Linked DNA regions of Arabidopsis thaliana. The protein of the gene in region 1 purifies or fractionates together with the protein of each later gene. This does not show direct contact. Each region holds a gene or a part of one and is shown in the gene's direction. Other genes may lie near its edges.

Evidence for each region.
Region 2: the proteins of AL7 (region 1) and ATMND1 fractionate together in Arabidopsis thaliana (co-fractionation; one large-scale study listed by BioGRID). This does not show direct contact.

Annotation. Positions count from the first base shown.
Region 1 is NC_003070.9:4,962,602-4,966,525, reverse strand, and holds the start of AL7 (alfin-like 7), read left to right. Parts: upstream 1-2,010; 5' UTR 2,011-2,371; coding exon 2,372-2,468; intron 2,469-2,683; coding exon 2,684-2,716; intron 2,717-3,231; coding exon 3,232-3,460; intron 3,461-3,860; coding exon 3,861-3,924. UniProt on the Arabidopsis thaliana protein: Histone-binding component that specifically recognizes H3 tails trimethylated on 'Lys-4' (H3K4me3), which mark transcription start sites of virtually all active genes.
Region 2 is NC_003075.7:14,380,914-14,384,837, forward strand, and holds the start of ATMND1 (Mnd1 family protein), read left to right. Parts: upstream 1-1,922; 5' UTR 1,923-2,071; coding exon 2,072-2,074; intron 2,075-2,543; exon of another isoform or gene 2,544-2,638; coding exon 2,639-2,719; intron 2,720-2,903; coding exon 2,904-3,020; intron 3,021-3,129; coding exon 3,130-3,168; intron 3,169-3,267; coding exon 3,268-3,375; intron 3,376-3,456; coding exon 3,457-3,519; intron 3,520-3,600; coding exon 3,601-3,652; coding exon of another isoform or gene 3,653-3,657; exon of another isoform or gene 3,658-3,793; coding exon 3,794-3,838; intron 3,839-3,924. Other genes in the region: SNF7.1 (SNF7 family protein), read left to right, coding at 106-177, 428-527, 606-691, 779-870, 1,041-1,155, 1,235-1,429. UniProt on the Arabidopsis thaliana protein: Required for proper homologous chromosome pairing and efficient cross-over and intragenic recombination during meiosis.

The DNA of each region.
Region 1 (3,924 bases):
ACTTTTGTTGGCGAGGTAAGGGAACCCCATGTTCCTTTTGGTTCTTCTTTATTCAGGAAATAATGTGGAATCTTTAAGAATATTGGTGTTTTCGGGGATGTGCAAGCTAAGTTACATCTGATTTCGTCCCTCTTTATAGGATTGGCTTTCCTTCGGGTGGAAGGCAAAGATTGTTGAAATGCTTGGAGAGGCTACTGGCATACTTGCCTCGGTGATGCAAGATACACTGAAACTTTTTAGTTTATGGTCCTTATATTTTTATTATGTTTTAAATATGACCCATAACTTTTGTAATTACAACTATTGCCCCATTATCCTCGAGCTTAATTAACTAAGACTAGTAAAATCATTTGTGAGCCCTTTCGTAATCAAATTTCAGACCAGGTTTACCCGAACTCCATTATATTATGCGAACCGTATTTCAGTGACAAAATGTTGAAAAGTTTTTCTCATCGAATTTCGGGGTTGAGGGCCTTGTGTTGAAATGATTTGGTTGAAGATTTCGGATGATGATCTCCATAATCAATTGTGGGCTTCAGGTGGATGGACGGAGAAGACCACTGCGTTATGGGCTTCGTTGATTTCAAATTGGGCGTTTTCGTGAGATTAGGCCCATTGTTGAATAGTCAGCTTGATTTTGTTGCCTTAGTATTTTACAAAAATTGTTGACTGGTCAGCTGATACTACATTATTCATCGAATGTTTATGAATCTATTACGAATGAACCTTGAGAGAAAGATAGTTTGTTATGAATTCATTCCACATTGGTATTACAATAGATTGATTCGAACTTATACTTATTATATCTAATAAGTACATATTAGAAGTTAACTAATAGTTAGCTAACTTGGAAGGCGAGTCATGTGACAGTAGCATATTTTTAATATTGATTAATAACATGTTTACAAAGTTAATAGTCTACTTTTATTAATGTGGCAAGTACGTGAATGTGTTCCTAATCCTAATTATTCGTAAATATATTTAAATTTTATTAGTTAAACTACCTTTTAATTAATCAAACAATACGAAACTCCATCAAACAACTTTATACAAAAGAACGACACTTACATCCCAAATTAGACAACCATGTTAAAAAATGCTGTATGCAAATAGCTCATTAGACCATGATGAAGAGCAAACCAAACAAATACATATTGTTTTAAAATCATTTCCATGTGTCATCTGATGATTCAACATGTCAATAAGGTCGAAACGTGAAATGGAGCAAACTGATTCTTAGACAACATCCGGAAACTTAATTATTGGTATGAAGATCAAAATGTTTCTTTGGTTTCGACGTTATACCATTAATCTTTCTGCTAAGTATCTGACAACTTGTGATACACGTCAAGTATCTCCCAACTGTGACTAACTTCTTCTTCTTTTTTTCTTCTTCATAAAAACAACTGATTGTTCTTTTGAGGATAAAAGCATCAACGCCTCATTTTACTTACTTACCCGCAAATTCTAATCTGCAAAAAGATAGGAAATACATAGTCATCCATCCTAATGTAGTTCTAACTTCTATGTATTAAAGCTTTGTAGAGTTTGATTTGAATATAATTCACATGAAAATTAACAAAAACATGTAAAACAGTAGTATAAACAAAACCAAAATAATAACAAAAAACATTAACGATTAAACAAATCAGATAAAGACCCTCGCTCTCTCTACGGTATTAAGCTTGAAGCATTCTTTTTAACTATTAGTAGTATAATTTAACTCATTATTAACTAGAGATTAATGACAGAATATTGTAAAACCATCAATTTTGTTTAAAATCATTATTTTTTTTTAATCTTTAGCCTTTCCATTATATTGATCGACAGATATGGATATTATAGTACAGTTCTTAAACGTTAATCACAGTAAAACTGGCAGAAATTTACTGTATTATTACTTCAGTTCGTTGTAGAACATGCCTCAGGAAAAAAAAGCGCACATAAATATTGACCCAAAACAAAAGAAAAGTAAAACGACTTTATATTTCTGGAGTGAATTAAATAAATAGATAAATACAGGTTGTGACTTTAAAAAAAAAAAAAAAAAGTTGAGATGTTGTCGCTTTAATCTATTCTTCCAATGCTTCCAAATCCCTCAAATTGTCTTTTGTCTCCTTTCCTTTTCGTTTTTAGGGTTTTTTTTTCTTAGCACAGCTCTCTCTTCTCAATTTCCCCAAATGAAATAAATTCCTCCGAAAGTTTATAGATTTCACTCTCCCCCGAACTATACAAAATTCCCTCAAAAGGAAAAACTAAAAAGCCGATCTTGGCTTTTTTGTTTCTGAGTGCATCTCGATACTTGGAAGCATTCTTTGGTGAGGCTGATTCATTCTCATCTGTGAAAGTCTTTGGCTTTTGAAGCAATACTATGGAAGGAATTCAGCATCCTATACCTCGCACTGTCGAAGAGGTTTTTAGCGACTTTCGTGGTCGTAGAGCTGGTCTCATCAAGGCTCTCTCTACTGGTCAGCTCGATCTCTCTTTCTCTATTTACTCTGTTTCTTTTGATCGAATCTTAGATGATTTCTGTAGATTTGCGAGTTTTTTTTATATGTTTAGTGCTCGTTTCTTCAATTGGGTTTTCTTAATTTCCTGAGAAAAAAACCCCCAAAAGATTTTGGCTTTCTTCTTCCTGTTTTGGGTTTATTCATGTTCTTTTGTTGTGTGTTTTGTTTTGCAGATGTACAGAAGTTTTACCATCAGTGTGACCCTGGTGAGTTATTTCGTTACCCATTTAAAGTCTTGTATATAGCTTCCTAACGCATTGGTTCTTATCTTGTTTATAGGAAGATGTGTTTTTTTTTTTTTTGCTAAAGTTAAGATTTTTCAGTGCAAGAGTTCCTTTCGGGTCTGAATTAGGGAAGAGATTGTAATTGGACATGCGTTTTTTTTGCTTCATGAGTTTGTTCACGGATTCTTTTTGTTCCCAGCTTTTGTTTTTCTAAATTCTGTTAGATTGTTTTAGTTAGCTTCTTCCTGATTACATCTAATCTGCAGTAGACTTGTTGTTATGATCCTTTTTCTAGTTGACTCCTCTGTTAGGTGTTATATCTTTGATTATCTTCCTGTCAGAGTTGTTGTCTGTTTGAACAGTTTTTTTGGTTCATGATGTTTGAACAGATTATAGACTTTTTAAGTGTTTGTGAGATTTGTACCTAAGATGAAGTTAGTTCTCTTTGTGGTTTCTCTTCTTGACTTCTTAGTGAATTACGTTTTTTGCTAATGCAGAGAAGGAAAACTTGTGTCTTTATGGACTTCCAAATGAGACATGGGAGGTTAATCTTCCCGTTGAGGAGGTCCCTCCTGAGCTTCCTGAACCAGCGTTAGGCATCAATTTCGCAAGGGACGGAATGCAAGAAAAAGACTGGATTTCTTTGGTTGCAGTTCACAGTGATTCATGGCTTATCTCTGTTGCATTTTACTTTGGTGCACGTTTCGGATTTGGCAAGAATGAGAGGTAAGTTTCTTTCTCTGCTCAGTGTTCTGTGTTTGTTAATTTTGCTTGTTTGGTAAAGCTTCAATGACTAGTATAGTAGCTGCATAATTCTAGCATCCAAACACCGTGTAGTTGTTGTTGTAGATACTAGTGACGATCTCTGGCACACTAAACTCATGTTATCCTGTTTCTGTGAAACAACCCTGAAGAAGTGATCATCATTTTTTCTCCTTCAGTAGAGAGAAGTGAACCTACAAATGTATTGAATTCCATCTAAGCTGAACCAAAATTTATTGAGATTTAAGAATTTAGGTCAAAGATCATGTTTGTTGAATAGCCAAGTAACATTGTTTGTTTTCTCTGATATTATAGACTCAAATGGTTTAGTTATCTTGCCTCTGATCTTATTAATTCCTTTCAGGAAGAGGCTCTTCCAGATGATAAATGATCTCCCAACCATTTTCGAGGTTGTAACTGGCAATGCA
Region 2 (3,924 bases), on another chromosome or scaffold:
CCTCGTAGATTAATCGATCGATCGGTTCTTAATTCGCGGAAAATTGTTTCAGTAACCTGTGATCGTGTCGGTTGGGGTAGAAGAGATCGAAGTGGGAGCAAAATCATGATGAATCGGCTATTCGGGAAACCCAAGCAGGAGGCTAATGCTCTCCAAACTTTAGACAAGCTTAACGAGGTATCATCTACTTATCTACTTCTCTCTCTCAATTTACGTTCGATCTGAAAGAAATATCGATCTCTCTGTGTACTGATCTCTGTACTGTTTGTTTAATCTTAAACTTAAATCACCATAAGACATCACTTCAAATCCGATTCTCGTTTATATTTAATACTCAAAAACGATTGAATTGGGGATTTCTGAGTACAATTTATATGATCGTTTGCTTTTAAACCATATTCAAATTTTGTTGATTTGTTCATTGCAGACGCTTGAGATGCTAGAGAAAAAGGAGAAAGTACTCTTGAAGAAAGCTGGTGCAGAGGTTGAGAAGGCAAAAGAATACTCCCGGGCTAAGAACAAACGAGGTATGACCTCTTATTTATTATGACTCATGTGTGTTGCTAATCACTGGAGTACTTAAAAGCTGTATTGGGTTTTTGCAGCGGCTATACAGTGTTTGAAAAGGAAGAGGTTATATGAGGGACAAGTCGAACAGCTTGGGAATTTCCAGCTCCGTATTCATGATCAAGTGAGTTTGTTTTAAGATTGTTAACTATAAACTATATAGCAGTAATTAGATGAATTTATTGGGATCTTATATCTTTTTGTCATACAGATGATTATGTTAGAAGGTGCAAAAGCAACAACCGAAACTGTTGATGCATTGAGGAGTGGAGCTTCTGCAATGAAGGCAATGCAGAAAGCAACGTAAGTGTTCATCACATTTTCACCATATTACTCTTTACTACCATTTTAACCGTCATCAGTTCTGGGAATCGTTAATACGAGCTTGGTATTCAAAATACTTATGCTTTTCTTGTGCTTGAATGCTTTAACATTTCTAGTGCCTGACTAACTCAAAACACAATATTTTGCAGAAATATTGATGATGTGGATAAGACCATGGACGAGATCAATGAGCAAACCGAGAACATGAAACAGATCCAAGAAGCATTGGCGACTCCAATGGGGGCAGCGGCTGACTTCGACGAGGTAACTTTCTTGTACCCAAATGATCATATATTTTTCAACTAATAATGACTTTTGTCTAAGAAAAACTTCTCTTTGATAGGATGAGCTTGCAGCAGAGCTTGATGAACTAGAAAGTGAAGAGCTTGAATCGCAACTTCTACAGCCGGCAACAACAGCTCCTCCATTGCCTTCAGTTCCAGTGCCTGCAGGGCGTCAACCGGCTCGTCCTGTTCCCCAGAAGCGGACTGCTGAGGAAGAAGAACTCGCTGCATTACAGGCTGAGATGGCCCTCTAAGGTCTCTTCTATCTATAATCAAAGCAAAATCAATCAATTTGCTTACAGACTATGGATTTGTAATTTAACTAGTTTTGCAATTGGCTTGGTTTAACTGCAGGTTATTCACCTCTCCGAGCAGAGACATGTATGCATTGATAGACACGAACAGACGATGTATATAAGGATCTGAATCAGATTAATTCGGAGCGAAAAACTTTTATAATCCCCGTCGTTAATGTTATCTGCAATTTGAGTGTTCTTCACATAATTTATCTTTTGTAATTTTTGTATCTTTTTATGACACTTTTTCCTTTGGTTAATAATCACTTTACTCCTATGTTCATCACTTTCGCCTGATAAGACTACTCATGAATAGTCAACCATATACGTTGACTTCGCTGCTTTAACAAACATCATGCCGTTTTGGTACCATAAAATTGGACTCCGTGTCGTTTTAAGGTTAAATTCAAATTAATTGGAATAAAAAATGAAACAGAAAGCGAGGGATAATAACCCGCTTAAGTTTTCAAGGCTTCTTCTACAATTCTCTCATTTCGAATTTGATAAAGAGAGGAGACGATAGTGAGGGAAGAGAGTGAGAGAGAGCTGTAGCAGTGTTTGAAATCCTTTGGATTGCATCACCAGGAGCAAGAGATCACGATGGTAATATACTCTGGACGAATGTTCTCTACTTGTGATTTTGTTTCGCTAATGAACCTCTGTGATTTGTGCATTTTCCTGGGAAGATCGAGTGATTATTCTCTATGATTCTATGAATCGTGATTATCTTACACTGATGATCTTAGCTTGTGATTCTTCGACTTACAAGAGAATTTTGGATGTATTGATTCGACCTATTTGTTTGAATGTTTAGTAGTCATCGTTATGTGTTTCTCTTACTCTTCGAAGAAATTTGTTTAAACTTATCGTTCATCGGTAGTAATGTTTCTATCTTCCGTAGTTCATTACAAATTTGTGTGAGGAATTTCCGCAAACACTTGGACTGCATGACGCGAATCGATAGGTTCTCGAATTAGCATTTATCTAGCAGCCAATTCTCGCAATCAGTGTAGTCGCTGAGTTGACTGTATATATTTTTGACATTTTCGATCTGGAAACTATTTGTTGACAGATCATTTGTTGGATTTCGTCATTGAAGCTCTGAAGTTTTTTTTCGTCATTCTCGTATCAACTGAATCGCTGCTTTCTATTGTTGATGATATTCAGTCTAAGAAACGGGGACTTTCGCTGGAGGAGAAACGAGAGAAGATGCTTCAGATATTCTATGAGTCTCAAGACTTCTTCCTAGTGAGCACTTTCTTTAGTTTTTACAACTTGCTAATTTTTGGACGCCTTTGAACTAGCTTTATCTACCAAGTGATCTGATATCTAGAGTCGTGAAGTGCATATACTGCCTAAATTTGTTGCTATTGAACTTTTGGGTTTGTGATACAAGCACTTATGGGTCTCTACTTTTGTAAAAAAATTTCAGCTAAAGGAACTTGAGAAGATGGGGCCGAAGAAGGGTGTAATTAGTCAGTCTGTGAAAGATGTTATCCAGAGTTTAGTCGATGATGATCTTGTTGCGAAAGACAAGATTGGAATTTCTGTGAGTAGCTTAGTGTTCCTATGTTGGATCTTTTTATTTCATTTGTTGCCATATAGTCCTTGTCTCTGTTATATGTTGTTTGACGGTGTTCATTATTTTGCAAATGAAGATCTACTTTTGGAGCCTTCCCAGCTGTGCTGGCAATCAAGTGAGTCACCGTTCTGTATCCTGAGATGACATCAAAAAGATTCATATTAATTTGAGCATAGCGAAATTCATTGTTTCTGATCTCATTTTGAATGAACAGCTTAGGAGTGTTCGCCAGAAACTTGAATCTGATCTTCAGGGTAGTAACAAAAGGTTAGCAGAACTTGTTGATCAGTGTGAGGCCCTAAAGAAGGGAAGGGAAGAATCGGTAAGTATTTTCAGTATTGTAGAATTAATGCTCGAATAAGCTTACGTGTGCTTTTCACCAGAATTGCTGTTCTTGCTGCAGGAGGAACGAACAGAGGCCTTGACGCAACTCAAAGATATTGAAAAGAAACACAAAGATCTGAAGGTCAGATTATACAGACTATCTGTTTGCATAGAGCTATTCACATGCTTAACAAGTTGCTAACAGTTTCTTCTTCTTAAACAGAACGAGATGGTACAATTTGCTGACAACGATCCAGCTACTTTGGAGGCAAAGAGTTAAGTTCTGCATAATACGTTACTTTTGTTTTGTGTTAGATCTCCTATATGGTTTTCCCGGTCTTCGTGGAGCAGAAATAAGAATCAATCTTGTGCTTTACTAGCTGTATCAATGTGTATATTCCTTCTAATTTTGACAGGGAATGCAATTGAAGTTGCTCACCAGTCGGCTAACAGATGGACAGGTATTTCATTTCTAAAACTTGGGAATGTGTTTTCAGTTTTAATACTTACGTAATTTTCACTGCAGCCTAGATTATAATTCTTTCAA